Linked DNA regions of Astyanax mexicanus. The protein of the gene in region 2 purifies or fractionates together with the protein of the main gene of each other region. This does not show direct contact. Links are inferred from orthologs where the notes say so. Each region holds a gene or a part of one and is shown on either strand. Other genes may lie near its edges.

Region 1 (7,495 bases), on a different chromosome or scaffold from region 2:
TCCACTGTGGACAGACCAGTTACACATACTGTGCAGCCTTTAAAGACAGGACAAAGGTAGTCCTCTACACGCAGGTCTGAATACCGAAACATACTGAGGAAAAGAAGAAAAACAAGAGAACCAAAATGTTTACCGCCTTTTGAGGTGAGTTTTTGAGTTTATACAGGTCATAAAAGCATGAAGACGAATAGAGTCCTACCTGTCTTGAGACTTTTCCCAGCATGCCTTCACCCAGGTGGGCAGTAAGACAGGTTTCCCCAGGTTGGCTGCCACAAGATATTTCTTACTGCCCACTTCACCTGCCACCAGGTGAGTGACTGATACATTAAGGTCTCTGTAAACCCTTCCTCCCATGAGCTGAACCAAGTCCATGACGTCTGTCTACAGGACAGACACAAATGTGGTGTAAACATTTCGTTAGATTCTAATTACTACTTATGTTAAAGACATATTTGACCCAGCTTGTGAATTTGGTTCATTGCTTACCCGTACTTCTTTGTCCAGGCTGGTACAGGTCACTGTCACATCAGCCATGGCCATGTTGTAGACAGGTTGCTCTGCCTTGGGCACACACCTCTGCTGCTGCAGACAAAAAAGCACTACCAGAGGACTGACTATCCTGCATCCCAACTGTAGTGCACACAGGGAAAAACACAGAACAGGTATAAAGACAGACTACCAGCAGTGTCATGCCAGTAGCGTTATATATGATGCTAGTGACCATGTAGAAATAGCACTACTTGTGGAAGACAAAATAATTTTGAATGAAAGACAAATTCAGAACATAAATCTAGGTAACTAATTTTATTCATAAATATACATAACAGATTACAAATGTAACATTGTTTTTATTTGTATGCAGTGATGAAAAATATCACAATATCGTTTTGTACATTTGCAGTATATTGTATTGTATTTTAAACACAACTAAATTGTGTCCCTCCAAAATACATCATAGTTACATAAAGGATCTTTCAAACGTGAGGAAAAAGATAAGAGTTAATAACAAAGAATTAAATCTTAGTACTGCATTCATAGAGCTGCAACAGAGCTTTATTGCTTAGTAAAAAAAAAAAATGTTTGAACTTTAGTGTATATGTTAGCTGCTCCATCTAATAGACATTCCATATCATTTGTATCCATAAGCTATCGTTTGGGGGGTAATATTTTTGAACATACCTTTCGACAGTGCTCAAATGCACTGCTGGTAAAGTCGCTGAAAACATATAAGGATTTGTCATTGTGATCCAACTTCAGGGCTGCTTCTTCACCAATGGTCTGCACATATTTCTCTGACTGCAATTCCACTATCGCCTTAACATACAAAAAAGAAAAATATATATTTTAATGATATAATGCCAGCAGTTATAGGGTATTCAATAACCATGTTATTAGTGGAGGACTAATAGTTTGTCAGAAACATTTGGTTTCCATTATGATGAATATTTACTGTACCTCATAAGCTTTTTGACCAAGCTCACGTTTCTGCCCATTGTGTTCAACAAACTTTACCATAAAAGCATCCTGGCTCCTTTTGGACATTCTGGCTTCTATTGTTTAAAAAAAAAAGAAAATACTGAATTACTACATTTCAAAAAGATCTCACAGAACAACAAGATCTCACTGATAACTTGACTAATGTATCTCAATTCCATACAAAAGATAACTTGTTGCTTCAAAATAAAGTAACTAACTTTTATCGTACATAAAGTAAAATATTTTATTCCACCATTTATACTGGTCTATTCATTACAGGATCCCTAAAATATCAAGGTAGAAACATTAACATTTGGAGTAGAGGTGTGCCTTATAATATTTGACCTTATAATATTGTAAACAAGATATCATGCCAGAATAAAATTGTAAATAATAAAAATCCATGACAATAGGGGTTTTCTGTCTTGAAAACCTTTTAAAATTAGTTTTCGTTTCTTAGTAAGTTACTGATGTTTACAAAATATACAAAGGTTTCAGATTTATTTTGTTTTGTTTCTACTGAATGTCTGAAATTGTTGACAAGCCATTCTAGGTGACTACACCTAGGTTTTAAACTGTGGCCTATGTTATGGAGCACTGTCACATCGCAACAGGTCCAGCAGCTATAAATCATGCAGTATTAAACTTTTTTCACTTAGTTAACTAGCTAACCAAACTAACTAATTAGCTGTTATTAGGCAAGAAGTCTTGCTAGGTTACTATAAAAATATATTAAATACACAACAGATAGTTAGCGTTAGCTAGTTAACCTAGTTAGCTCACCTAGCTAAGTTACATATTCAGCTATTTAGTATCAATTGTTTATAGGTTAGCTAGCAGTAAGCAGGCTAGCATGAAGAGTACAGATTCTACAGAGCTTTTTTGCATTTCACATTTATGTCCAAAATGTCATAAGAAATACGTGTTAATTAAAGTTAACACTTAGGTTCATTAGTGTCAGTCAGGTCTAAACTGTTAACATAGTTAGCAAAGTAAACTTAGCTTACCTTAAATTAGGTTACTAGCTAAAGCTAGCTTAGCAACGGTCACCAGCTTTCACTGGATCAGCAGTCAGATCCACTAACTAGCTAAATAGATAGCTAGTTAACTAGCTAACGAGCTTATTATCTAAGTAATCTGAAACTGAACATTGTAGTTTAGGTTCAGCCAGCAAACAGACGGATACCAGCTGCTAAACGCCTCAGTTTTGCTGAAATATCATTATCTAATGATGTTTCCTCAGAGAGAGCTCGAGCTCCTGTAGTCCTCCAGTCAGCAGAGCCGTTACCGCTGAACTACTCATCCCCACAGCACACAGATATTAACGGATAAAACAGGCGAATAGAGACGAATCCCCAACTCTAAACGCTTCGTTATCTCTCTACAGCCTGACGGAGGAGCCTTCGCGCCATCCAGTCAACTTACAAAACGTCCGGCAGTTCTTCTACTCGGAGCTGTTGTTGTTTTCAGCAGATCCACTGCTCTGGATTTACCGCCCCCGGACGACGCGGAGCTGAAACACACAGCCGCTGTTTCAGAGGTAAATTACAAACATTGGAGGTTATATCTGATGTTCTGAAGTTTGTAGACTCTTCTTGAACGTTTCTTCTGACATTCAATGTAATAATTGTGAGTTTGCGACCCCCGTGATGCATCAACAGGGACTCACAAACAACCCTAATCATATGATTTTATATTCCAGCTTTACAAAAGATATAGATACCCAATTATGCCAAAATACACTTTGTGGTCAAAAACAACATGGACACCAATTCTCAGTATAATGGTACGGTCAGGCCCATTGTTTAAAATCTAGAATTTATTAGTGAATATTTGAACAAATAATCTCTAAAAACAGAATGACACAAAATGTCACTTGAAAAAAAAAAGAAATCCACAAAACATTTGATGTTAAATAGGACCGGTTTAGGCAGATAAAAACCTGGAAAACGGAATACTATCAGAAACGGAATTTCCACAGCCTTTTACCAGCATACCTCAATTTAACTACTAGTTTGACAACTAGCTAACTTAACTAATGTTAATACCCACTAATATATTTAGCTATTTTAGCTGGCTAGTTTAGCTAGCTAAACGTACATTAGATGTACAATAATATTGAAATCTCCTAAAATTTAAATGTTGAATGAATATAAATTAATATAATAATATGTCGCTATATTTAGGATAATTTTACTACAGATGTTCAAATTCACAGCTCGCCAACTATACCTTAGAAAGCAGTGATAAAGAAGATGAATGCGCTTATTCACCAAAATGTACTTTTTCGATAAAGCAAGACTACAGAACGGTTTATTTTATTAAAAAATGTTAAATCTGCTGTAGATTTACATATATTTTCTACAGTAATGTATTAATCAACATTAAATCATTTAATTTCATCAACTATTTTACAGTTAGTTAGTTAGTTATTACCATTAAACCACTAGACACTAGACATAGAGTCTTTTTTTATAATATTGTAGCTGTTACAATATTTACACAGGTGTTGAAGGTGGTAAATGTTGTGTCGCTGTACAGAGTTTTCTGAAATGTTCAGTATACCCAAACCATGCAGCATTTAAGCTAAATGAACATATCCTGGTTATCACATGAATCACACAAAAAACATTAGAAAAGCCTGCAGTTTAATACAGTAACAGTATAAAGCTGATTAGCAGCATCAATAACAATATTACTTATAGCATAGCTGTTTCAATTTCATTCAAATACTATGTAACAATTAATTTATCAGCGTTTACTCTGAACACATTAACACACATATAGAGGAATATTAAACTTCACTTTAAAGGACTTATTATACATTTTACACAGTTTTCTTTGATGTGAGGGGTGCAGTTGAATAAAAACGGTTTGATAATTTAGGCATTTATGTGACTGCTTGCCTGTAGAATTAGTAGGGCAGTTTTGACCTCAGTGTGGCTATGTAGAACATGTACACCCAGGATGAAACTAGATAGAAAGGACTGGTGGAGGCAGGATGTCTTGTTTTTTTCTCTGGCCTTTCTTGAGCTTGCACATAAACACAGATAATCCCTTTGGTGATTATCATGCTTCTGCAACTGCATATGGTTCTCTCCTGCATTATATGCAAGCTCCTCTGGGGCTACTAATAAACATTTACATGAACAGTCTGTAAAACAGCTCTGTTTTGATACACACAAATTTCTGCAAAAAATAAATAAAACTCATAGCTTAATATTAGCATTTATTATACGTGATTAAAAAATGTTCATACGTTTTTTATAACATGACAGAAAATACACTTAGTTTATGATAAACACGACCACAACATATCACACAAATAATCCATTTGGTCCTTATTATGCTTCTGCAACTGCACATGAACCTCTAAGTGTAAGAAACAGGCTTATTCTCCAACATGTAGCATTTGGCACCAAAACTGTCATAGCCTGATGCTTTAAACTGAACCTGGGCAGAAATAATTCTATATGGGACAAAATATTCACCAATATCCGCTAAAAATACATAGAGGTGACTAGAACTGATATGAAAACTAATTTTTCCATTAACTTGTCTCAAAATAACATATATCCTTGTAAAATACCACTTATTCACAGAGCTTATCTGCTATGCTTACCTCCAGCATCATATGAAAGCTCCTTTGAAGATAAATGAAAACAAAACATAAAACAAACAAAAAAACATGCAGTTGCATTGTTAGTGCAGGGAACAGTAGAATAATGTATAATATGATAATTTTGTAAGAAATCATTTCAAAGAACATAATATTTTATATAATTCCTTTTAGTTATGTCTGTTTAACTCCATTACACCCTCCCCCACTGAATTCTGACAAAATTGTGTACATACCATGGAAGGTAATACGTCAAAATACTTGGTTTGTGTTCCAAGAGTCATAAAAAAGACTTATACATATCTAGCAAAGATGAAGTAGAAAAGTGTGACTTCGAGCTCTTCAACCAGCTACCAGTTGTAGAATGCCTCGTACATTCCATGCTAACCCAAAACCTTCGACTTTTGATTCAAATAGGGCATTTCCCTAACTCTAACTCCTCACAACACAACTAATGCTTTCAAACATATTAAGAGGGGAAGAAATTTGAGTAATTAACTTTTGACAAGGCACAACTTAAAGCCATTCCATGTGACTACCTGAGAAATCTGACTGAAAAGATGTGCAAATCTGTTATCTAAGCAAGAGGTGCCTACTTTGAAGTATTTAAAGTATAAAACATATTCTGGTTTGTTTAACACATTTTCTGTTTATTGTTTACTAAATTATTTTATTTGTTTTTTCTTCATAGTTTGGATAACTTTAGTATTAATCTACAAAGAAAACAATGTTATGAATAATTAAAAAACACTTAATTTAAAGGTGTGTTCAAACTTTTGACTGGTACTGTATATATGTTTTCATACTCATCTTACAATCAATAATATTTTAGCTAAATTTATACTCAGCTCATGACTTAATTTGATACACAGCAGCATCTAGGCTAAGCTGCATGATAACACTGACTAACGGGAGACCTGAACCTGAACTCTGGTTATAGTTTACTGTCTCTAGATTCACACTCGTGTTCATCGACGTGCTTACACACCTCATAGCCCCCCCATGTGACGCGCGTGCGTCCTTTAAAGCCCATCCGCCCTTTGCGCGCTCCTGTGCCAGAGACGGGGGCGCGCCTCAGTGTTTCTGACCGGCATGGAGCTGCAGCAGCAGGTTACAGTGTGAAGCTGCTCCAGCGGTGGAGTAGTGTTTTATTCATTCTGTAGATAAAGCACGCGGTGCTGTAGCCTCGTGTAGACAGAGCAGTTCTGCGTTTTTATGTTCAGGATGCTTTTTTCTGCTTTGTTTTGTTGTTTTTTTTCACTGGAGGAGCTTTGAGATGAATTGATTATCAGCGATAAAGTTCTGCAGCGACAGAATTAGATTAATTAGATTTCACCGCTGTTTTTTGTCGCTGTGTGAGGTGTACCCTGCGTTAATTCTGAGTTTTGTTGAGTTTATTTCTCTCACTGCTGGAAGGTAATATCTCTCTATAGGATTTTAACATGGGGAGCACTGCTATGGACTCTAAGACTAAAGACGGGGGGAAGAAAAGTACCCGAAAGAGGAGGACCCTGCGCTTAAACATGCCGGTAAGTCAGAGCGGTCACTCGTTCACGGACATTGTTTTAGTGATGAGCGTTTGATCCACACCGCCAGCCAATCACAGCGCAGCTCTGCAGCGCAGTTCCAGCATGTGGGTGGGGCTCGGTGAAGCGCGCGGCATATATAACACCTACATTCCACCGCGCTCCGTGCTTTCCCCACCCGTATTCGTGCAAGCTCCGCCCCTCGCAAGGTGATTGGCTAGTAGTTCATAGTAACTATAAACTATGAACCTACCTAGCTTCTAAATTATTGACTAGCACCCAAAACAATATTAGTAATGTAAGTGTAGTAGACATTTTTTTTTTCAAATTAAACTTGTACAGAGCATGCACAAAAAATAGAGACAGCACAGGAAAAACTTGGTAAAGTTTTTACAAATTACCATGCCACACTCAGCCTTATTCCATCCTTTCCATACCCAGCCCTTCACATATCCACCTCAGACACTGAACTGGACTTCACTGCACTTGTTCAAGCCTAAAACAGTCTACAATTTGTCTAACTGAACAAGAAAAAAAAACAGAAAATAAGGCAATTAGACTACAAACCAAATAGCAATAGAACTTTGTATAAAGTGAATATAATGCTGGTTTTACGGCAGAGACATTTTGTTCAAAATTGTTAATGTAAATGTTGATTAAATACACTGTCTGGCCAAAAACACTTTTCACACTGGGTGGCAGTTCTTGTGAGATTAGTGACATTTCAGTTTGGAGAAGCACAGGAGTTTTTTTTTTTTATTGTAATATAATACAGGAAATTTATGGGAAAATACTAATATGGGAGGACAACGGGAAAAAGGGGTAAAGACATGACATGACGCCTAAGCGGAAGACATGACATGTATGAGGGATG
Region 2 (7,389 bases):
TCACCAAAGCCATGGAGTTTAGAGGCTGGGACTTTAAGAAGTCCAGCAGTAGCAGACCTAAGGGATCGAGATGGTCTGTAAGGAAGAAGGAGGTTTGACAGATAAGGAGGTGCAAGATTATTTAATGCCTTATAGGTAAGTAAGAGAATCTTGAATTGAATCCTGTATTTAACAGGGAGCCAGTGAAGATTTTGGAGAACAGGTGTAATGTGTTCATGGGTGCGAGTGTGAGTGAGTAAACGGGCAGCTGCGTTTTGTACCATCTGGAGTTTATGGATAGAGGAAGAACTAATGCCAGCAAGCAAGGAGTTACAGTAATCTAGTCTGCTGGAAATGAAAGCATGAAGGAGTTTTTCAGCAGTGGACTGAGTAACGGATCGTGGAATTTTAGCTATTCTGCGCAGATGAAAGAATGCAGTTTTCACCACAGAGTTGATGTGAGCTGTAAAAGAGAGAGTGGAATCCACTTAGTGGCAAAGCCTTTGTTTGCAAGCACAGCGGTGAGTCGTTTGTTGTAGAAATCTCTCAGCGTCCACTTAGATGTGTGGTGTGAAATACTGAAAGACACTCGCCGAGCCGTCACAAAGTGATCGCTGACGAGTCGCAGACACCTGGCAAATATTTGGCATGCTACATATGTGGTCCAGTTGCCGACTGGGAGTCAAGAGCAGAAGGAGAAAACCACCAGAACCACTTACAGAGCCTGATCAGTTTCTGTTTCCCCTGTTAAATTAAAACTCTACATATACATACATATATATACACACACACACACACACACACATATATATACACACATACATACATATACACAGGTATGTGTGTGTGTGTGATTGAGGTCATATACCATTTTAAACAAAAATATGAAGCTACTTACTGCTCAGCCGCACTATCGCTCAAACTTTCAGACGCCTGTCTCTGCAAGGCCTGCAGAAGCTCAGCTGGAGACACGCCCATGCTGGCGGAGCAGCGCTTCAAGTGAGTGGAACGACTCTTTTCAGACTTAAAGCCACGCCCACAAATTGGGCACTCTGGAACTCGAGGCTGGAGTGCAGATGCAGGAGCAGCAGGAGCTTCAGAGATTTTTTCAGAGGAGCTCTCACTCTCATCCAAACACCTGAATCAAGGAGATGAAGGAGAGCATAAGAGTATGCTGTGCCACACAGGGATAACAAAGGAAAATACCAATTTGTTAGCAAAGTATTACAATATTGAGTTTTGTAATATTGTGCCAATTAGGGGTGTGCTGTATTATACTCAATAATATCGCCAACATATTTGAATATTGTGAATGATATTATACTCTGAAATATCACCACTTTTTGCTATTTTTAAGAAAAGGGAATTCACACTGTACGAATTTGTCTACTAGAGACAGATTATATCTGTCCAGTATAATTTATTTTACTTTACTCCTGGATTTATGGAGATCTTTGGAGTGCATTATTATTATAATTGACTCCTGTTACAAATATGATCTGGCTGTGTAGTGTACTATACTGGAGTACACTGTACACTGGAGGAATATGACTTTATCTAAGATATGTATGCCATCCTGGACGAGTGAGGATCACCAGTTGTAGCCAGTTTAAAGAATCTGCCACAGTAGTATTGTTTCAGTGTAGTTAGTGCTAGCCTGCTGCAGTACCTGTTGATATGCTGAGTGCGTAGCTGAGGGCTCATAGCTGACAGGTCTTTGTAGCAGAGCTGGCACAAGAACAAGCCTTTACCCTCTGTGTCCACCACAGCCTGGGTCTCAGCCTCATGATCCAGCTGCTGCTGGAGCCTCCGAGCCAGTGCTTCATCACTTTCAGTTTCTTCTTTGAGCTCTGACAAACACAAATATTTAAATGTATGGCATTTAGTAGATGCTCTTCCACCAGCAATACAAGTTGCAACAAGATTTAATAGTTACGAAATAGTTGGCATCACCATATTGTTTCCATATAGTTGTTCAGCTTTGCAGAGCTATTTTTTACATAAAAATGTTAACTGTTACACCTGCATGACCAAGGCTGCTGATCAGTATGACCAACATGCATGCCAGCATATCCAATCGTGACCACATTTAACATACACAACGCTAGTCAACAACTGGTTAACCAGCAAGTTCGCCAGTACAGTGTAGCTATTTCCACCTGGATCACCAGCTTTTCAAGTACCTTTACCATCAAAGACCAGTGTAGACCAGCAGAAGCTGCTTATGAGCAGGGAACCATCATACAGTAGAAAGTCACATACTGTAGAACATAACAGATGATTGTGAGTGTATTACTACCTCGTCTGGGTGGTGATACTGTCTCCCCCCGATGTTCCTCTGCCTCCACATGGAGAAGCCGGGGAGGACTCTCTCTCCTAAAGCGCTCCATCCTCCGGAGCACCTTCTCCTTCACGCTGAGAAAGGAGGCTCCATCTGCCGGACAGACAGGCTGCGACCTGCCCGCTGCCTGGCTCTGGAGCTGCCCGTTCTTCTGCCTCTTCCTCCTGGGGGGAGCTCTGCTCTGAGAGGGACCTGCAGCTTCATCTGGAGCTGCGACTGGTTTCTTCTCATCCCCAGAATCTTTCCGTTTCACCCTCTTGAGGAGCCGAGAGCAGAGATCAGAGAACTCCTGGTCCGAGTCGTCCATGGCCGCCAGGTAGAGAACAACATCTCCCAGAGGTTCGGATCAGATCAGCATGGTGACCAGTAGCTTCTTCAGTTTACTGTCCTAACCAACCAACCAAGTAACGTTTAACTAACGTTACCCAGTGTCTCTATCAGCTATCAGCTCCTTACCACAACAACTCCAGCTAACAACTACTTTAGCTATATTTCTTCACAGAAATCACATTAAACCCCACTAACATCTCGTGTGGGTGGGACTACACTAACCGCACTGAAAGCGGTGGCTGTTTTTAGTCTAAAAGCCGTGTTTTAATCTCTCTAAATCAGTCTAGTTAGCCTGCTAGCCTCTAGCTAACCTACGTTCAAAATTCTCCACCACAACCGCCTCTCCCACGTACAGTGACGTATTCGCGCTCACGCCGGGTTGCGCAGGGGCTTGTGGGATTTGTAGTTAGTTCATCTACAAACACACGCTGCTGTTTATGGCAGGAAATAATCTCAAACAAAGAGAAATACCCATAAAAGAATCTTTTAGGGGTTTGTTGAACCACCAGTATACGCACGATCCTGAGTGATAAATGCATTTCAGCACAATCAGATTTTATATATGTGCTTAATATATGTGTTTAATCATTTTCATTCTGAAAAATGTACTAATTTCTTCAACACAATATTTATGTTCTTATGGAACCATGGTACATGGAACAACGAATATTATAGCAGACATACCAGATTGCAAATCTGTGGGGCGGGGGTCTGATACAGTTTTGTTTTGTGTGTGTGTAAGTGTATGAGGAGTGATGGGGTGTCATTTCAGTCCCTGTGTGTGTGTGAAGAGTGTTGGGTGGGTTTACTACAGTTCTTGTATGTGTGTGTGAATAGTGGTGGAGATTCAGTTCAGTTCTGTGTGAGTGTGTTGGGTGTGTGGTTGGGGGTGGGTTCAGCTCTGTCTCTGTGTGCTGAGGAGTCTGACTGCCTGGTGGATGAAGCGGTTGCAGAGTCTGGTAGTGGAGGCTCGGATGCTCCTGTCTCTTCTGCCAGATCTTGTCAGCTGTGCTCACTATCCGCTGTAGGGTCTTGAGGTCTGAGGTGTTGCAGTTCCCAAACCAGACGGTAATGCAGGTGCTTAAGATGCTTTCTACACTCCCTCTGGTAATGATGGGAGGTGGAAGATGTGCTTTTCTCAGTCTTTGCTGGAAGTGGAGGTCCTGCTGGGTTTTCTTGGTTATGGTGCTGATGTTGAGGGACCAGGTGAGGTTATTGTTTGTATTATTTTAAATGTTTAGACCTAAAGACACTCACAGGAGCGTACAAGATAGTAGCTACAGGGGTATGAAAAAGTTTGGGCACCCCTGATAATTTGTCAGATCGGTAATTTCAGTTAAATATATCATATATCAGATGAACATAGTGATATTTGAGAAGTGAAATTAAGTTTATAAGATTTATAGAAAGTGTGCAATAATTCTTTAAACAAAATAAGGCAAGTGCATAAATTTGTGAATTGACAATATTAGAAACAGGTGGATTTGTCCCCCCCAAAATGATATTGTTTCGCTCAGCTCAGCTGTACTATTAATGAGGAGACAGACCGATCACGGAGCCGGTTCAGGTATTAAGTCCCGCCTCCCAGTAGAAACAGCCAATCAGCTTGCTGACGGGGGAAGCCCCTCCCTGGCTGTGAGATTTAGCAGCGGGATCGGGCTGCAGCAGCTTCAGCTGATTTTAAAACAGATCTGGATATACGGAGATTTTTCTAACAGAAAGGTAACGGAGCTAATCATGTCAACTGTAAACCCACAGTGATTAATAAACTGCAGCTGTGTGAGTCAGTTATCTTAAATTTGGAATTAGTTAGAGTGGGAGTCAAGGTTAAAGAAAAAAAAATATATATATATGTAATGTTCAACTTGCCCTGTACCTGATCAGCTAATCATTATTACATTTTCCAACTGTGTTTATTAATTTAGGATTACAGGATATACTGTGAGCTATAATGAAAGAAATGTAATTTAACTAACTAGTAATCTAGAAGCTGCATGTAGTAGATAGTCAGAATTTAATAAAGTACTTTATGTTTGTAGTTTAAAGCAGTTTCTTAACCCCGATCACTGCCCCAAAACTGTGTTTTCCACCTGGTCCAGCTGATCAGCTAATAAACAGTCATTTACTGAGTTTACCTGTTAAAATCTTTAAGCCCACTATGGAGCCTGTATTAATCATGTATATTAGCAGTGTTTTAGACACATCATACCACCACTTACTTTATTAAGTTCCTTTAAAGCAGAGGAAGCTCTGATATGCAGAACAGTGTTAATATTCAGTAGAATATGTAAGAACAGGGTTGAGAAACACTGCTGTAACGTGACTTCTGTTCATTTGTAGTTCACAGTAAGACCACATGTCCTGACGTTTATAAAAATCTCTATGAAACGTAAAGTTACATTCTTTTACATAAAATGTCACCATCTTAAGAAGAGCTCTCAGTAGATAAATAAAAGCACAGGAGAAAATTTAAATATACAACAGAATTGACATGCCAATACATAATAATAATAATAATAATAATAATAATAATAATAATAATAAACAAATCTGTTATATTATTTTAAATATTAGGTGATAACTGAACATTTTTGTCATATGTATATAATTCAGTCATTGCATGCATAATTTTTCTAACAACAGTAACTGTAACGTTACTGTTACACTGAGTAACATGTTAAGGTTGTAAAATCACCTTATAATAATAATTTACTTTTAATTAAAAGTATTTCCACAAATGTTGTTCTAGGAAACTATAGGGTGGGCTTGGGTTCATATTGGCAAATGTGTCCCCCCCCAATATCAAGCCCGCTCCTACACCCTTGGCATAGTTGTCTTGTTAAAGTATCCAGCCCCAGCGCAACTTCAACTTTCTCACTGATTAAACACAGTTCTCAGGAATCTGCTGATATTGACTGAAATCCATGAGACTCTAAACTTTAACAAGATTCTCAGTAGCTGCACTGATCACACAGCCCCACAGCACGATGAACCACCACCACGTTTTACTGTGAGGAGCAGTAGAGTGTTGTTCTTGGAATGTTGTGTTCTTTTCCAACACTTTTAGTGTCATCAGTCCACAGCTCTATCTTCCAAAATGATCAGCAATCAATCGTCATGTGTGACTATAGGTGTGTCCCAATTCAGGGGCTGTATCCTTCTAAGGACGCGGTCTACGAAAGTGTGTCCTTCGTAGGATGGGTAGGCTGCAGCGGCTCTACTGAAATGGGACAGTCTAAGCTATGGAGTTTTTCCTGTTTCCTGTTTGAGATTCTACAGGTCCTTCTCAAAAAATTAGCTTATTGTGATAAAGTTCATTATTTTCTGTAATGTACTGATAAACATTAGACTTTCATATATTTTAGATTCATTACACACAACTGAAGTAGTTCAAGCCTTTTATTGTTTTAATATTGATGATTTTGGCAAAAAAGTAAAGAAAAAATTAGCCTATTTCATCCGACCAATAAAAGAAAAGTGTTTTTAAAACAAAAAAAGTCAACCTTCAAATAGATATGTTCAGTTATGCAATCAGCCTGTGGCACAGCTGAGGTGTTCTGGAGGCCCAGGATGCTTCTATAGCGGCGTTAAGCTCATCCAGAGTGTCGAGTCTCACGTCTCTCAACTTTCTCTTCACAATATCCCACAGATTCTCTATGGGCTTCAGGTCAGGAGTGTTAGCAGGCCAATTGAGCACAGTAATACCATTTACCAGTGGTTTTGGCCCTGTGAGCAGGTGCCAGGTCCTGCTGAAAAATTAATTCTTGATCTCAGCAGATGGAAGCATGAAGTGCTCCAAAATCTCCTGATAGCTGCATTGACCCTGCCCTTGATAAAACACAGTGGACCAACACCAGCAGCTGACATGGCACCCCACACCATCACTGACTGTGGGTACTTGACACTGGGCTTCAGGCATTTTGGCATTTCCTTCTCCCCAGTCTTCCTCCAGACTCTGGCACCTTAATTACTCTGGTACTTTGGAGCACTGAGCAACAGCTGCTTCTCTGTAGTCCAGGCGCTTCTGCCGCTGTTTCTGGTTCAAAAGTGTCTTGATCTGGGGAATGCAGCACCTGTAGCCCATTTCCTGCACACGCCTGTGCACGGTGGCTCTGGATGTTTCTACTCCAGACTCAGTCCACTGCTTCCGCAGGTCCCCAAGGTCTGGAATCGACTCTTCTCCACAATCTTCCTCAGGGTCCGCTCACCTCTTCTCGTTGTGCAGCGTTTTTTGCCACACTTTTCCTTCCCACAGACTTCCCACTGAGTTGCCTTTATACAGCACTCTGGGAACAGACTATTCGTTCAGAAATCTCTTTCTGTGTCTTACCCTTTTGCTTGAGGGCGTCAGTGATGGCCTTCTGGACAGCAGTCAGGTCGGCAGTTTTTAGTAATGAACCAGGCTGGGAGTTTTTAAAAGCCTCAGGAATCTTTTGCAGGTGTTTAGGGTTAATTCGTTGATTCAGATGATTAGGTTAATAGCTCGTTTAGATAACCTTTTTATGATATGCTCATTTTGTGAGATAGGAATTTGGGGTTTTCATGAGCTGTATGCCGAAATCATCAGTATTAAAACAATAAAAGACCTGAAATATTTCAGTTGGTGTGCAGTTGGTGAATCTAAAATATATGAAAGTTTAATTTTTATCATTTTCATTTCCGCTAGAGGGAGCCCTCCCCCTCCTCTCTCCCTGTTGTAGCTGTGATGTATCAGCGCGAGTTTTACATATTGTACATAC
Region 3 (7,738 bases), on a different chromosome or scaffold from region 2:
TAAGATTATACGGTTTGAAAAAAAAAGTTTCTACCTATTGACCCACAATAACAAACAGTTCATACCATCAACATTGTTATAGAAGAGACATGAGCGGGTCGAAACTTTGGCTCGGCACATGTGGACCTGAAATAGCATTATCAAATGCAATGGAAGTTATATTAAGACAATATTTCACTACAGTACCAAAGCAGTGATCTAATTTTATTTTTTTATTGAATTCCAAGTTACTTATGATACGTTGTTATACATATACCTTGATGTGGTTGCTTTCCTGCTTCATTATTTCTTGGTTGATGCAAAGTTGTTCTCTGGACCCCAGAACACAAACCTTTGGCCTATCAATAAGATTAACAAAATGTTTTAAAAAGAGTATGATTAGATTAGATGATTATAGATTATGTCCTTTTTAACAAAAATGCATAGCAGGTCCAGATTAAAATGGTTGGAAATGTATTGCTGTTTGATTCTTTAAAAGGAAAAAAATACTCCAACAAAATTGCTTTTGTTTAAAAGCTGTTGAGAACAAGATCCATACAACCTTCAAGGCACTGACCTGTAAGCTGTGTTCTTCAGCTCACTGACGACTTGCGTTAACTGAGAATGTGTTCTGGATGCATAGATGATTTTGGGTATATCTGTGTAATATGCTGCTCAGAAAACACACACAAAATATGTTTTAAGGATTCCGATATTATTAACCAACGTGCATTCTTATTTAATATTAATAATCCTCAGGATATTTAGATATATTGATGGCATTTGCCAGACACTTAAACATTTTCACAAATGTAGCGTTAGACATCTTGCCTGTATTTATAGAGTTTGTACCTCTGATTCTGAATTATCCCCCATCCTGCACACTTAAGAGTAATCCTGGCTTAATTAGGACATGTTAATTAATGTAATTGGAATGAAACTGGTCCCTGATTATTAGATCAGGTATGCTGGTGTAAAACAGTAAAATGTGCAGTCCAGCACCACTTCATCCCCAAGCAGCTAACTGAATCACATTCCACCATAGGGAGGGCAGCAGTGTTATTCTCGATTCTATACCAACCATCCTTTTATCTATTTTTATTTTTTATTTTAGACACCAAATCAATGCACTAAGGAATGGTTAGCAAACTTGGACTCAAAAAAAATAATTAAAAAAATCTTGCCCTCCCTTTACAAACCTGGGACGTCTCCGTCAGTTGCTGCTGTTCCCCATGAAGACATGGGCCTGTCAGGAAAAAGCTCGGCACCTCCCATCTTCTCTGAAATCTTGCGAGCAGATATGGAGTCCTTGAAGTATTCCCTCCAGCCAAGAGTCGCACAAAGCAGACACAGGGTTTTCCCTGTACCTGTTGGACTTTCAAGGACTCCATTTACCTTCTAATACAGGAAAACAGAACACTTAGAATGTGGACACAGTTTCGTACAGGATGTACTCAGTCATGAAAGTTGATTACATGTTTGAATGCCAAAAGAGCCTCTTTTTCTTCTAACACAATGTTCTGTTATGCACAAATTCACTCCCTGGACAATAAAAAAAAGTCGCCATCTGGATTTAACTAAGTAAATGACCTGGGGTTGATGCTGCAGTTGGTCAGGTCTAGGTTCAGCAACAGTATGTGCTGAAAGAATAAGGTCAGCTGACTACCTGAATATACTGTCCACATATAGGCCCCCAATGGCAAGGTACAACCAAGATCCAGCCCATGTTTAACACCCCCCCTGGTCACATCACTGACATTCATGTGTGTGGCCAGCATGGAACCCATAGACAAAACAAGTTGGTTTATATTTAGTCCCATTACAGTACCTCTCAAATGTTTGCACACAACTTCTTACCCTCCCGTGAAGGAGCATGCAAGGAATCGTGTAGTAACTTAAAAAAAGTGTTAAACAAATCAAAAGACTCATCTGGAATTCTGTTAACTAGCGATTCTGGGGCTGGTATGTTTGATTAACTTATCCTGTGCAACTCTTGCTCGTCCTTACCAGGGGTGGTCCTGATGAGAGCCAGTTCCATCATAATGTTTTTGATGGTCTATGCGACTAAACTTGAAGATATTAATTTCTTTCATTTTTTTTTGATTGAATTTCTTTACTTAGTTGAGTAGTTCTTGCCATAATATTGATTGTACAACATTACTCAAATAGAGCTATTAACTCTATACCAACTCTACCTCTTCATAACACAACTGATGCTTTCAAACACATTAAGAAGCAGAAAATTCAAGAAATGCACTCTAGACAAGTTCAGCACAGCTGTTGACTGAAAGCCATTCTATGTGACTCTACCTCTTAAAGCTGACTGAGAAAATGGAAAGATGTGCAAACCTGTCATCTGAACAAATGTTTCCTAGTTTAAAGAATCCACAATATAAATCCTGTTCTGGTTTGTTTAACACTTTTTTTGTTTATCTTTTTTTCATAGATTGAATGACTTTAGATTTGAGAAAAAGAAACACTGGAGTAACAATCTAAGTGGGAGACAGCCTTAGTTTTTCAGCAGGGAAAAGTATTTAAAGGTTTTAGGTCCACTCCCACATATGCAATAGTATATTTGTATATGCTACAGGATATAACTAACATGTGTGATGAAGATTTAGATGGGACAAAGCTGCTACTGGGACAGGAATGGGAGGGACGTAGACTTCGCAATTCAGCTAACGTTATGCAATGTCAGATCCCGAGTACAGATATCAAGTTAAAAAGAGCAGAGAGGGCACTCACGCTTTGCAGGCATTCAATGACTTTGTTCATGTAATCCGTCTGACATGGATACGGAGTGAAAGGGAAATCCACATTAACTCCTCTTAAAGAGAGAACAGGCATCCTGCAGCCTCGCCGCGGACACCACGACACAGACAGCAGAGGACTGGGCTATAAAGCGCATAGACAGACCCAACTAATCAGCTCCTCTAATAATTAAATAAACAGCAGCTTCACTTTACCCAACTACATAACAACACATCCCCGCAGCGCGCCACAGCTCTTCACCGTCTTCTTTTACGAGCTGCCGAAAAGCCGAAATGCGTTCCTCCTGCCCCCTACAGGTCACACTGCTCTAATGCACAAACACTGATCACTATTTTATTTTCATTATTCTGTAACTCAGTAAATACAAAAATATTACACCAAATAAATAACATAACTACGTTGTTACGGTGTGGCTAAAAATTAATAGACGTCTAATGAAGGAATAATCTAAGTTAGAGGGGTGAGTTAGTATGGTTGTGGACTAGATGAAGTATATACAGTTCTGGGAAAAAATAAGAGACCATTTAAAAAGAATACGTTTCTTTGATTTTACCAAATTAAAAAATTCTGTAATATAATCAAGAAGAACTTAGATGATCAGCCATCAAATCAAGCTGAACTGCCTGAATGTTTGCACCAGGAGTGACATAAAGTTATTCAAAAGCAGTGTGTAAGACTGGTGGAGGAGAACATGCCAAGATGCATGAAAGCTGTGATTGAAAATCAGAGTTATTCCACTAAATATTGATTTCTGAACTCTTAAAACTTTATGAATTTGAACTTGTTTGTCTGAAAGCTCTGCATCTTTTTTTGTTATTTCAGCCATTTCTCATTTTCTGCAAATAAATGCTCTAAATGACAATGCTTTTATTTAATTAGAAATGTTGTCCGTAGTTTATAGAGTAATACAACAATGTTCATTTTACTCAAACATATAGATACCAAAATCAGAAAAACTGAAGTGTTTTTTCCAGAGCTGTATGTACTTTGGTGGCTCTCGGGCAAAAGGAAAACAGGGAAAGGGCTTGGGCAAAAATAATATATTTATAGGAGTCTATAGGAGATGTGGGATGAAAAACCTTTAACTGTGTTTAAGTGTTGAAACAAAAATACAATAAATAATAGAAGTTGTTTGAGGATTGCTAGGTGTTGCTATGGACTAGAGGTACTATGTGATCTAGTTCAGTAGCTGACAGGCAAAAGAAAAGAACAAGGCTTGGGGGGAAATTAATGGGAGTCTATGGGAGAAAAGTGGGATGAAATTTCTAAATAGTAAAAATATAAGACAGTGGAAAAAAAGATGGAAGAGATAAAAAAAACTGCAGGGGTGGAAAGTGGACAAAAATGTGGATTTTTTTCCACTGAATAACTTTAACAATATAATTTTGGAATAAAATTCTTTTAGACCTGTTATTGCTTTAAAACTGAAAAAAAGGATTATAACTATACGGTTATCAATTGGTGAAAGATTGGGCAACAGCCTAAACATCATAAATAACTCCTAAGAATATACTTTTTAGTAAAATCCCCTGAAGTTACAGGTAGATAATACTAAGTTAAAAACTGCATTTAGGTAAAAAGAGGTGCTGCTCTGTCCAGTGGCTTTATTTTCCTGTTCAGTGTTTCGTCACAACATGGCGACTTACTCAGGCGCCAGGGTCGATTTAAACACTGAAAACATTCAGGTATGTGTCTCTTAATACAGCAGGGCTGTGCTGGTTTTGTTTACTCGTGTTTTTAATGGTTAGTGTTTCTGTATGTGTTGCTTTTATCTGTGAATGTAATGGAATACAGAGGTGAAAACGCTGCGTGTGGGTCCTCCTCACTCCTCACAGCACAGGCATTAGTATTTACAGAGGAAGTAGCCGAGCTAACCTGGGTTAGCTTAGCTCAGGCTATCTAGCCCGCTAGCGGATCATACAGGACAACTGAGCTACAGATAGATACACACAGAGAAACAGAGAGAGAGACTCTCTGTTGTTTTCGGTATTAAAGTGAACCCTGTTTGATTCGTGGTGACTGCGACATGTGGGCTATGTTCAGAGTTAATCACGGTTACTACTGTAACCATGTAGGTTATGTATCTACGCATTTGTGAAACATTAGCTTCGAAGCTAAGCTAGCTAGCAAACTAGCTCTGCAGCCAGTGGATTCAGATTTGTTTCCCGCAAACTTTGTGAGCTCGGCTCCTCTAACCTGTATCTCAGTCGCACTCTGGCCTCGGGAAGGTTTTTTGACGTAGAAACAAAGGTAAAATAGCTGAGTCTGCAGTGTCTGGATGGTGTGGATGTTTGGCGTTTCTTTTTAAATGCGCTTTTAGGTATATTTAACAGCACATTTTTAGTATTTCAGCTAAGTTACACGAACCTCGATAACTGATTTTTATAGCCAACAGGTTATTGGTTAGCTGACGCTAGATACTCGTGCACTTGCTCCAAAATTAAGTTCGCCTTAAACAAGCTAAACTAAGTAACCTAACTATTTAGCTAAGCCAGACGGTTTTGGTATGTTTACATGACGTGTAGCTAGTAAGTTACTGAAATTTAAATATGTATAGCCCATCTAACCAACTATTTCTAAACAGCTTTCTATTTCTGTATTTGGTGGTTCGGTTTTAATCTGTCAGACAGCACTGCTCAGTCACTGGCATGCTAGCTAGCTAACTAGTTACTTTCACTTTAAACATGTTAGACGGCTTCGTGTTGATTAACTAATTATTTTAGATGTTTTTTTTTTACACTTTCTCATTAAGTTCCTATTTACCCAGGCTTATTTGTCATTTGTCCCATGTGGTGGCTGTTGGAGCTGTTGCAGTGCAGCACGTGGTGGGCTAATCTAACCCTGTGCCTCTGCCCATGACCCACTCTGCTCACTGTACTGTTTTTTATACACCAAGCTGTTTAAACTCATATATCTGTAATGTAGTTTTTTACTAGTAGAAACTCCTATTTCAGATCTGATTACTTTTAGCTACTACGAATCATCTCTGATCAATCTCAAGTCTATTAAGCCATTCTGACTAGTCATGTTACTAGTAGAACGTATATAATTTATTCATATGTTCCCATTGATTTACATGAAATTTCACTTATCTGTCATTACATTTTAAAAAGCAAAACTTTGTATTAATTTATTGGGGCTGTGTATTGGCAAGCCCTTGGCCATATGTACTTGATTTTGTATGAATGTATTTGGTATATCACAGCTTATTGCCATACCGTATGTATGGCGATTATATTGTGATTGTTTAAATAAAATGTTAGGAATGTTGTCATTCGATTAAAAAACAGAAATATGAGTACAAGTAAAGTTTACTACTTTATGCAGTCATAACATTGGGTTTTAACAACACTGCTATACAGGGGTATGGCTGGGCGATATTGTAAAAATAAATAAATAAAATAAAATACAAAATAATAATATATAAATTATTATTATATCAGTTAATAATATCAATATTTTTCAAATATATGAGCTATATCTTGAATAAGATTTTAGATTTTTAGTTCTTACAAAACTTAAGTTGTTTTATTTGTAAACTGACAGCACTATTTAAAGTGATGAGCAACTATTGTTTTTTTTTTTTTTTTTTTTACAGTTTTTAAAACAAATAGTAAGCAGCCCCCTTTACAGGAGCTTTTGTATTAAACACTGTACAAACATAACCTCCTTGTATTTCAATTAAGGAAAAGTGTAAAATATGAAAAGTCTACTGAACTTTACTCTGCGAGCTTCTTTCAGTCAAAGCAAACCAAGAGAAAAATGCAGGTTTACAAACACTGTCATTTATTTGTACACTAAGAGAAAATGAATTAAACAAAAAATAGTGACTTCACATATAAGTTGTTCATTAGGCAACCATACGTGTGTCCTTTAATGGTATTGCTGCAGTGAACTTTATTTTATTCTTAACTTTGTAAAGGCCATGTTTGGAAAACTTTTGTTAAGCATAGATTCAACTTTTAAAATGGTTAGAATGGACCATTAAATTACCAGACATGGGTTAATAACAACAAAATACAGTTGATACCTTGATCTAGTTGATATTTCAAAAACATCTCAAAAGTAATGTTTCTCTTCCCTTTCTCTATCAGTACGGGGTGAACACCATGGAAAGCACTGGTGTATGTGGGATGGAGGCAGCGACACGTGGAATTGTGGAGGGCAGCAGCTCTCCTCCGTCACAAGATAATCTTGAGGAGTTTAAAGATTTGGTTAACTGCACTGAAGAAGTAAGAGGGGAGACACCTGGGAGAGAAGATTTCCAAATTGACCCCCTCGAAGGAGAACTGGGCCAGAGCAGTGATCAGAGCAAGGAGCAAAACATGTTTGGTAGGTGGTGATTGAGAACTTGGATTTTTCTAAAATCTGATTGGTTTTTCTTATTAATAGTTTACATCAAACATGTAATACTGCAATTTTGTTGCGATAGGGAAAGAAGTCCTGTTACTGATGCAAGCCCTTCACACCTTAGCAACTCCAGAGGAGAAACTTGCTGCTCTTTGCAAGAAGTATGCTGACCTGGTAAGAGTCTATGGCTTTTAAAATACTGCTGCTGTTTGTTAGTAGAGTTTTAATATACGCAACACTGGATACTATAGAATATGTCTAAGTTCCTTATAGACAAGTTAAGAAGGTGGGAGTTCAACTGTACATTAATGGCAGGCATGTGCCACGTGGGGTTCACATAGTCTGTTTAAACTGATCACTTCATCTATCTCTAGTATCAGAATTTTATCTGGATGAGGCCATGAGACAAACAAGTGCAAGTGTAAACACACCCAAGAAGCATTTTAAAAAAGCAACAAATCCAGTTGAGATGCACTTGAGCCACAGTGCAGCTTTGTCAATGACGCATTCAGCAACCAAACCCTTCCCCATGCCTATTTAAAAAAAAAAAAGTCTAGACAGTCGTTTTCTCATCAGCACCGACTGACCTGTGGCCTCCTTTTAAATTTAAGGAAATGCATGACTGGGTGCAAAATTG

Evidence for each region. The genes of interacting proteins can lie anywhere in the genome.
Region 1: the proteins of slx4 (region 2) and topbp1 purify together in Homo sapiens (affinity purification with mass spectrometry; 3 studies listed by BioGRID, with this or other methods). This does not show direct contact. The link is inferred for Astyanax mexicanus from reciprocal best matches to the Homo sapiens genes SLX4 and TOPBP1.
Region 3: the proteins of slx4 (region 2) and rtel1 purify together in Homo sapiens (affinity purification with mass spectrometry; 3 studies listed by BioGRID, with this or other methods). This does not show direct contact. The link is inferred for Astyanax mexicanus from reciprocal best matches to the Homo sapiens genes SLX4 and RTEL1.

What each region holds. Positions count from the first base shown.
Region 1 is NC_064408.1:103,079,242-103,086,736, reverse strand, and holds the start of topbp1 (DNA topoisomerase 2-binding protein 1), read right to left. Parts: upstream 3,005-7,495; 5' UTR 2,902-3,004; exon of another isoform or gene 2,484-2,901; intron 1,551-2,483; 5' UTR 1,543-1,550; coding exon 1,456-1,542; intron 1,315-1,455; coding exon 1,180-1,314; intron 631-1,179; coding exon 487-630; intron 382-486; coding exon 200-381; intron 94-199; coding exon 1-93. Other genes in the region: prkag2a (5'-AMP-activated protein kinase subunit gamma-2a), read left to right, coding at 6,538-6,624. UniProt on the Homo sapiens protein: Scaffold protein that acts as a key protein-protein adapter in DNA replication and DNA repair. Composed of multiple BRCT domains, which specifically recognize and bind phosphorylated proteins, bringing proteins together into functional combinations.
Region 2 is NW_026040046.1:1,762,960-1,770,348, reverse strand, and holds the start of slx4 (structure-specific endonuclease subunit SLX4), read right to left. Parts: upstream 3,013-7,389; 5' UTR 2,628-3,012; coding exon 2,279-2,627; intron 1,830-2,278; coding exon 1,649-1,829; intron 1,118-1,648; coding exon 878-1,117; intron 1-877. UniProt on the Homo sapiens protein: Regulatory subunit that interacts with and increases the activity of different structure-specific endonucleases.
Region 3 is NC_064423.1:17,392,267-17,400,004, reverse strand, and holds the start of rtel1 (regulator of telomere elongation helicase 1), read right to left. Parts: upstream 3,005-7,738; 5' UTR 2,827-3,004; coding exon 2,725-2,826; intron 1,378-2,724; coding exon 1,179-1,377; intron 651-1,178; coding exon 557-650; intron 339-556; coding exon 257-338; intron 127-256; coding exon 66-126; intron 1-65. Other genes in the region: txlng (gamma-taxilin), read left to right, coding at 4,386-4,436, 6,846-7,083, 7,184-7,275. UniProt on the Homo sapiens protein: A probable ATP-dependent DNA helicase implicated in telomere-length regulation, DNA repair and the maintenance of genomic stability. Acts as an anti-recombinase to counteract toxic recombination and limit crossover during meiosis.